Drosophila melanogaster: one gene and its partner. The protein of the gene in region 1 interacts with the protein of each later gene in a pairwise test. Each region holds a gene or a part of one and is shown in the gene's direction. Other genes may lie near its edges. The genes, in order: CG4622 and CG14569.

What was found.
Region 2: the proteins of CG4622 (region 1) and CG14569 interact in a two-hybrid assay, tested with the Drosophila melanogaster proteins (one large-scale study listed by BioGRID).

Annotation. Positions count from the first base shown.
Region 1 is NT_033778.4:24,553,014-24,558,320, reverse strand, and holds the start of CG4622 (uncharacterized protein), read left to right. Parts: upstream 1-2,037; 5' UTR 2,038-2,174; coding exon of another isoform or gene 2,175-2,316; 5' UTR 2,317-2,378; intron 2,379-2,749; coding exon of another isoform or gene 2,750-2,967; intron 2,968-5,307. Other genes in the region: ITP (Ion transport peptide), read right to left, coding at 2,175-2,316, 2,750-2,967. UniProt on the Drosophila melanogaster protein: Scaffolding subunit of the trimeric nuclear exosome targeting (NEXT) complex, a complex that directs a subset of non-coding short-lived RNAs for exosomal degradation. The RNA exosome is fundamental for the degradation of RNA in eukaryotic nuclei.
Region 2 is NT_037436.4:21,730,164-21,733,325, reverse strand, and holds CG14569 (uncharacterized protein), read left to right. Parts: upstream 1-1,775; 5' UTR 1,776-1,804; coding exon 1,805-2,392; 3' UTR 2,393-2,601; downstream 2,602-3,162. Other genes in the region: CG14568 (uncharacterized protein), read left to right, coding at 1-389; CG14570 (uncharacterized protein), read left to right, coding at 2,898-3,162.

The DNA of each region.
Region 1 (5,307 bases):
ATGTTAGCTTAGTTGTTTCTTCAAGTGGTACACATTCCTCGGGTCGATCGTTTCCTGGTTGCCATAGTTTCGTGCCGTGTTCTGCCACAGTTATCAATAATAATAGTTTTAGTTAATAGTTCATAGAATTAAGTAGCTGCTCGTGCCAGTGACGGTGCCAGAAAATCCCAGAGAATCGCACTTTACTTGCGACCCAGGGTATCGCGCCATTCGTTATACTTGTCCATCTCCTCGTGCAGCTGAAGAGCCTCTATGCAGGCGTTGAAGAAGGGCGATCCGAAGCATTCTTGCCTGTGTTCAAAAACAAAAGGAGGAGGAGGAATTAGGAAACCTGATTTTTTTTAATTTGGTGTATAGCTTGCTCAGAAGAAAAAAGAGCCAAAGTTCAAAAGCCATATTCAGGTATGGTTGAATATATCACAAAAATTATTGTTCTCAAAATCTTGTTCTGTTTGTTTGCTCAAAAAATACGAGCTCAACAGTTCGAGGATTATTGAGGAATTTAACAAAAAGTAAAGCATAGTTGGTCAAATTTTTAGCTTGAGTGCTAGTTAAAAGCCAAGAATGCACAAGGTCAAAAATCAAATAATTAATTAAAAACAAAAGAAAATTATAACGTACCAAAACAAAAACGGTAAGCAGGCGTTTTTAGTCGCGCCAGAAACGCGCGCAAATCGCCAGCTGCAGTCTGTCTGTCTCTGTCGCCTTCTGTATGGCGGTCTCTTTCTCTGGCGGTGTCCTGCGTCGCGCATTCGCATTCTAATTCTCATTTATCACAATTTTGATGCTCTCAAATAGCCAGCGAATGATTGATTATCCTTTATTAATTTACAGGGTTTTATTAATTATGTATTATTTATTGCCACATTTGTAATGCAGTCGTTCCGTTCTTCGCGTGTTTTTACCAGGTTTTTGTTTGTGTCTTGCACAAATTGCGATCTTGCGTTTCTCTCTAATATTTAGCATGTGTGTAGGGTACTCGTATTCGGATATATGTAAGGCTTTAGCTTTAGATAGGTATGCATATACTATATACTATATAGGTAAATACATATCTCCGTTTTGCGCCAACAGATTTACACTAATTCAGGGTTTCATCTTTACAAAATAGCACAAAATTGTAAGTGTAATACATTTGCAAAATACTTTCGGTCTCGATTGCGGTGTATATATGTGTGTGTGTGAGTGTGTGTGTATGTGTGTATGTGTGTATGTGTGTGTTCGTATGGGTTTATCTTTATCATTGTAGTTTTGCCCTTGCGGAAAATCGTGTAAAATGTAAACTCTAAATGCTGATTTTACAGTAGAATACAGATACAAAAATAAAAGTTATCATTTTACATTACATAGATTAAAAACAATGGATTTCGTTTTGTTTATTTTATATACAAACCGCATAACGCAATAATAATAAAACAAGCTAAGAATACTTAAAAATAAATACTTCGGCTTCTATGTATATGTGGGGAGTGCGAGATCTGCGATCCTCCTCCTGCACATCATCATCATCATCATCTGATCATCATCATCGCCCATCTCCCACTCCCCAATTATGTTACTTACAACAAACGCATAACGTTCTCAATAAATTAATAAAAATAATTCGTTTTTAAAAAAACACATATAGTAAAAACTGTAAGGCATACAGTAATAAATAAGTACGAATTAAATTTGGGCGTTTTAATATTTTAGATTTCTGTGTTCTGGCTCTGCATGTGTGGTCGTAGTGGGACTGTTTCTCGATCTGGATCTGGATCTATATCTGGATGCGGATGCTCGTTCCAACCCACGATATTCGCACCGATTCTCAGCTGTGTGTGGTGTGTGTTGTTTGTTGTGTGCTGTATGGTGTATGGTGTGTTGGGGCTGTGGGTGTGTGGGGCGGGGACTTAGAGTTATGTTTGCGGCCCCATGTTGAAGGATATGGGCGAGCCGTTCACTACTCTCAGAAAGTGCTGTAGGTTGGATATTTCCTCTTCGGGTATTAACAGCACTTTCAGGCATTCGCCAAACCATTTTGAATCAAAGCAGTCTTTCCTAAAATTGAAAACGAAAATCAAAATGAAACACAACGGTAAAGGTAACTGAAGGCAGTAAGAAATCAGGAAAATGAAGTCGTTGCGGAAACGAAAGCGGAAACGGAAGTGGAAACGAAAGTGGTCGAAGTTAGGAGTCTAGTGGTAGATGGGCTTGTGAAACGGATAGGGTGATCCGTTGATCACTTTCAGATAGTGCTGCAGCTGCGATATCTCTTCATCGTCGATCAGCAGCACCTTTAGGCAATCCCCGAAGGTCTCGTGGACGAAACAATTGGCCCTGCATCGAATAGACAAGAAACACAGATGTAGGACTCGCACAGAGGGAAGTCAAACGAAAAGGTGATAAACTTATTACTACAATATTTAAGTGACTATAGGGTGAAACAAAAAGAGAGAGAGAGAGATATAGACCAAATGGAAGAAACCAAATAGGCAGCGGTCTCTGTGCGAGAAAGTCGAGGAGAAAGTAGCGGGGAAAGCGGGCCCATAAAGTTCAGAAACAACCGAAGGTCCCGCGATCATTTTCCGATACCCCGACAATTGTATTTGTGTCAGGGTCTGCCAGCACTTAAGATCATAATTAGTGTTTCTTGGACGGCCTTGCCTTGAACGCTGTAAGGAACACTGATGCTGCTTTGTGGTTTTGTTAGATATTTGTATGTATGTATGTGTACGTATGGCTGGGGCTGTGGGACCCTAGGGAAACTTACTTGCATAATCGGTGTATACTCGTCTCGCGGAACAACTGGTAGCAGTCCTCGCAGATGCGGTCCAGTCGGAAGAACATGGTCTTGTTGAAGATGCCCTTGCACTCCAGGTCGAAGAAGTTGCTGCGCTTCGACAGATTGTGGTTGTGTGGCAAGGCGGCGAAGATTGGTATCAGGACAAGAAACAGCACCACCGAGATCTTTATGTTGCGGGAACACATCTGCAAAAGTGTGGGAAACCGGAAACACGGTTAAGAATAGATGCCTATTTATAGGTGCGATCAGATTAATTAACTGCCCGGACCACCTCTCTGGCCAAGCAGATGTGGGCCAACCCAGCACGATGTCGGCCCAGCTCCACGCCGCCGCCAAAGGACAGGGGCAAGGGCAGCTCTCGCCCAGGTGGCATCGATCTGCTGCTCGATCCGCATCGCGGATGGGCAGGAGGACGGCGGAGACCCTATAAATAGACCTCGTCCGACAGCCGTCTACCGACTGGCTAAAAATAGGGCCCCCATCCCCATCCCCATGTCCATGCCCATGCCATTCTCCACCCAAAGGTGCAATTGCAATAGTGGCAACAGTTGCAGTCGGTGCCGCAGACGATCTTATCGCAGGAGCGCTCTATAAATAGCACCGGCGATTTCAATGTTTATTGCATTATTTGCCATCTGTCGGCGGGCTTAATTTATGATGTAAGTCCGCCCCGCCCCGCCCTCGTCTTTGGCGGCTCAAAGGAGAGCCAATTTGCGAACGGACGCAGACGCGGACGGGCCCCCAAAACATGGGCATTTGTTTACTTTGCATATTTTATCAATTTGCGCGCCCGCCGGGAATTACAGCGATGACAGCGATATATATATGAATATATATATATATATATCTATGCACTCGCATTTGTGGCATTCCGAACTATTGAATAATTTGATTAACAGCGCGCTTTTCGCAAATTTTTCCACTGCGCGCTGTGCCAATTGGCCGTTTGTGTGAACATGTGTGAAATTCCTTCGACCCCGGGTGAAAAATTGAAATGCTGAATGAAAACCAGGCAGACACGACGACGTCGGCTATTTCGAGAGCAATTTCGAGAGTATCAGCAACATGAAAGCGAATTTGTGCCGATAATGATTTAAACACATATAATCGCTAACGAATATACTCGTATTGTTTTAGCGAACGACTCTGAGGATCTGCGCAAATTGATTTTTTATTGCCGTGCTGATGTCTTCAATTAAGTTGAGCACATTTTTTCGCAGATTTATGGCCGCGAGATGGGAAAACACCGAAATGGAAATGGGTATGGGAAGGGGAATGGGGCATTTGGGGGGACTGCCAATTGGAATCGGAATTCTGAGAAAGTTCATCAGTCGGTCGCCGAAATATTCATATATTTATATGAATACTATGAATACTATTCGCGATAAGTGAGGCTTCTCGCTTAAAAGTATGCTCCACCAAGGGGTCTTTATTTGATATATTTTTGGTTGATGATATCAAGGGCTCGCTCATGTGTCGTCATACTTAATTACTGCGGTCTCGTGTGACAAAACAAATGTTTTTAAGCAATCACATATTTTTGTAGTGAATATAAATAACTCATCCCAGGCCATCGGTCGTCATTGTTTAGTACTTAGTGTCGAAAGTATATATAAATCAAGAGTAATACATCCATCTGTCGTCATAGTCAATTGCTCGCTGTACTATCGCCAACTATTGTAACATTATGACTTCAACTTGCTGGAAGGTAGAATAAGCTCCAGACAAATGAACCCTACTATCCCTACCTGCGAGTGGTGGGCACAAAGAGTGCAAGTTGTGGTCGGGTGGGGAACCCTTTGCACTCAATGCACATGTAGCACTCGTTTAGTCAGAGATCCCGACGACGTTTCAGTGCAAAGTGCAACAGCTTGCGTACGGCGACTCAGCTCGGCTCGATTTCCCCGATGGATTCGGATTCGGATTCGGATTTGGATTTGGCTGCTGGCTGTGGGCTGAGCATCTGGTGATAATTGGCTTCGAGTTGCACGATTTATGGCATCATCGTCGCTGCAGGCGGCTATTTTTAACGCTCTTTGCCGGCGTGAGTGCCATAATTGATATGCGAACCGCGTTGAAGATAATGTAACATGGACCGCGAAAAGGGGCTTCAGTATCGCAGAAGAAGGCGAGGGAAAGTTGGAGGAGCGGTTGAATGGATGATCCGGGGCGACTGGGCCGATCGATCGAATGGCGTCATCGTCGCAGGAAGGAGCCAATGAACGGCGTCATATTTGATCGATCTCCGATCTGAAGTGCTGCTCATATAGCTGCTCCTCCGATCCGGCGACATGTGCTGGCAATTTGTTTGCATTTCACTTTGATTAGCTGCCAATTGATTTTATTTGTCGGCCGGCGCTTTGCATCAATTTCAATTCGAGTCGCAAGCGCGTCGCACATACTCGTACAAGCCATCCCATTATTTGACTATCTATGTGTCCGTGTGCTCCATATGCTATATACGCTATATACACCCCTGATTCATTGGAGCGGGGCGCACGCACGCCCCTCGATTCCCAATTGGC
Region 2 (3,162 bases), on another chromosome or scaffold:
GGGATCAGGCAGTTCCGGCCGACCCCGCCGTGGATATTGCACCTACGCCGGCCTCAGCCCCTTATCCGCCAGCAGGAGTGACACCGGAGGTGCCCTTCGACCTGCCCACGGAGACTGAAGCGCAACCTGATCTTACCTACGGACCCCCAGATGAGCCCGACAACACCTACGGCCCTCCCGATAACACTTACGGACCACCTGCTGAGCCGGAAAACACCTATGGACCGCCGGCTGATGGCCCAGTGGACCAGGCCCCTGCTGCCGATCCCGTGCCCGCCGGCTTGATCCAGCCTCGTAACGAACGCCTCCTCAGTCGTCGTCCGACCCCAGAGAAGCTTCGATCCGCTCAGATTATCCGCTCTGGATCAGTTCTGGTGTACACCATCTGAAATGGGTCAACCCTAATTTGCTAGAAATCAAATGGAATCGACTCATTAGGATATGCATTTATTACTTTGTCGCTAAATAAATTGTTGTTGAATATTTTAATTTAAATAATAAAATAATTGCGTTAATATTCAAGCCACCCTTTTGTCATAAATTGAAAATTGCAAAATATGTCTGTCTTGTTGTTAGTGAAGCAAAACATATTTAATTTGTTGTTGGAGCTAACAGATATATGAACGCATTTGCTTTTCTATTAAGATCTTATTTTCTTAATCAGGATCAAATCACAAAAGTGATTCGGGAGTCTCAACTACAAGTTACCCTGTGCTCTATTATCTATTAAAAATCTTGTCCAAGCAGTATCAAACAAGAAATCCTATATTCGGCTTCCCTGCTTATCAGATACCAACTACTCAGCTAGTGGAAATGCGAACGCGAACTTGCATACTTTTCCTGGAATATCGATAGATATTGGTGAATAAAATGCGTTGCATAAACTTTTTTGTCAATCAACAGAAATTTACAAGACTAATAAAAATATGCAAAATGTCAAAACAATTTGCAAACGTGTGGGCGTTGCAGTTTTGTGTGGTTCGTGGGCGTTAGAGTGGGCGTTTCTCTAGAAGCTGTGAGCTGTAAGCTGTAAGCTTAATCTCAACCCTCTAGCTTTTATAGTTCCCGAGATCGAGACGTTCATACGGACAGACGGGCATGGCCAGATCGACTCGGCTATTGATCCTGATCATATATGTATATACTTTATATGGTCGGAAAAGTTTCCTGTTACATAATTTTCAACACATCTTACTCTACGAGTAAGGAGTATGAATACTATATTTTTTAACCCGATTTTCACTTACCATGATAAAAACTCAAAGCTCAGAATATAATAATTTTTGGTAAGGCAAATGAGTGTTCCAAAAGCCAAGCTAATAGTAAATAACATTGTTTTTGAATTCGATCGACCCTGATTGAAACTGTCCAAATGTTGCAAATGGGTGGGACGTGCTTTTAAAAGTGCGTGCTTGATGGATTTTTTCACAGCCTATTCTGTTTTGCATGAATACAAAGTTCATCAAATAAAATTATGAACTGCCAAGAACCCAAAACCAAACAAACTCGAGTGTTCACAGCTCACTCCAAGTGTTAATGAATGATTTGCGAAGGAGGGAAAGGGTGGCCTATTCCAAATCATAGCATTGGAAAATCAATTTCGAAAAAGGGTCACGTATCGGGTATTAAGCTGAAGCTACATTGCCGCCGATCAGCGCAACATAATCAAAGTTTTACCGGGAATAAGAGCCTGAAACTGAAAGTGACGAGCATAAATTATAGCAGAATTCGATCTGGTAGCTTGGGGCTATAAATACGTCGTGTCGGATCGAGAAATCAGAACAGAAGCCCTTCAACCGCGAAAATGTTTAAACCGACTGGCGCACCAATTGCTATTCTTGTCCTGAGCCTGTTGGCGCTGAGCTCCGCGGAGCCGATCCGCCGGAGGTTCTTGGCGCGCCAAGTGGAGGCTATACCCAGTCCTTCGCCCACCGGATATCCGGAGGCGGGCATCACCCCGAGTGTTCCCTTCGATTTACCCAGTTCGACTGTCAAGCCGGAGAACACTTATCTGCCGCCTGATAACACCTATGGACCTCCGGACAACACATACGGGCCACCAGATAACACTTATGGACCTCCAGAGACCGACTCCGTGCCGGCTATTGCTCCCGAGGCTGAGCCGCTACCAGAGAATCCCATCGAGACTGATGATATTCCAGAGACTGAGGAAGCATCGGTTGACGGTGCCAAGCTGCAGCCCGCTGATGAGGACGCCGAGGAGGATGAACCGCAGCTGGATGTTGCTGAGGATGGCACTGTGATCGTTGTAGCTAGCAGTCTTGACCAGCCACAGTCCGTCCAGTCCGCCCGACTCTACCAGCGATTTCCGCAAGGACGGCGTTCCCAGAGGCCCGTTCCTCAGCGTCTAATCCTGCGTCGCAGTTGGTAGACTTTAAAACTTTAGCGTAAGCAAATACGTCACTGCGTCAGACTTAAGGAAATATCATACAGGCAAAGACTCTAGAATAATTATTCTAGTGTCTTTGATACAGGGCTGGAATCTATTCTAACGATATCATGCACTCACCGTACACAGAAAATATATTTACAAAATATTACTTACAAAATTCAATTTAAAATGAAATCCATACTGAAACTAATAGGAAAGCGTTATATTTATTATTTTTTTTATTCCTGTGTAAAAATAATATACAATTATTTTGTATAAGCACTCCCTTTTAAAGAAATCTAACCACACATTTTCATAACAGCCAGTACTTACACGCGCCTTAGTCACCACCTCCATGGGCACGTATCGTTGGACCTGGCTTATAAGTCATCGGCCTCGAGGTTTCTTCGGGCGTTTGAATTGGGCAGTTCCCAAGGGCATTCCTAGGGGGTATTTATAGGCGCCACTTAGCCGCCCATGCAGCAGTTCATGTCAGCACACCACAATGTCCGGTTATCCAAGTGCTTCTCTGGTCACCTTTGCGCTTTGTTCCATTCTTTGCCTGAATGGAATTGAAGGCAGTCATCTGAGGTTCCCAGGACCCGCGGCGGGAAGGTTTCTGCAAAGACAGGAACAAGCCCCATATCCACCAGCAGGCCTGGTCCCCGATCCGCCATTCGACCTGCCAACGGAGGAGGCGGTTGAATTTCCTCAACCGGAGGATACATATGGCCCTCCACCTGAAACATACGGACCACCGTCTTTGGTGG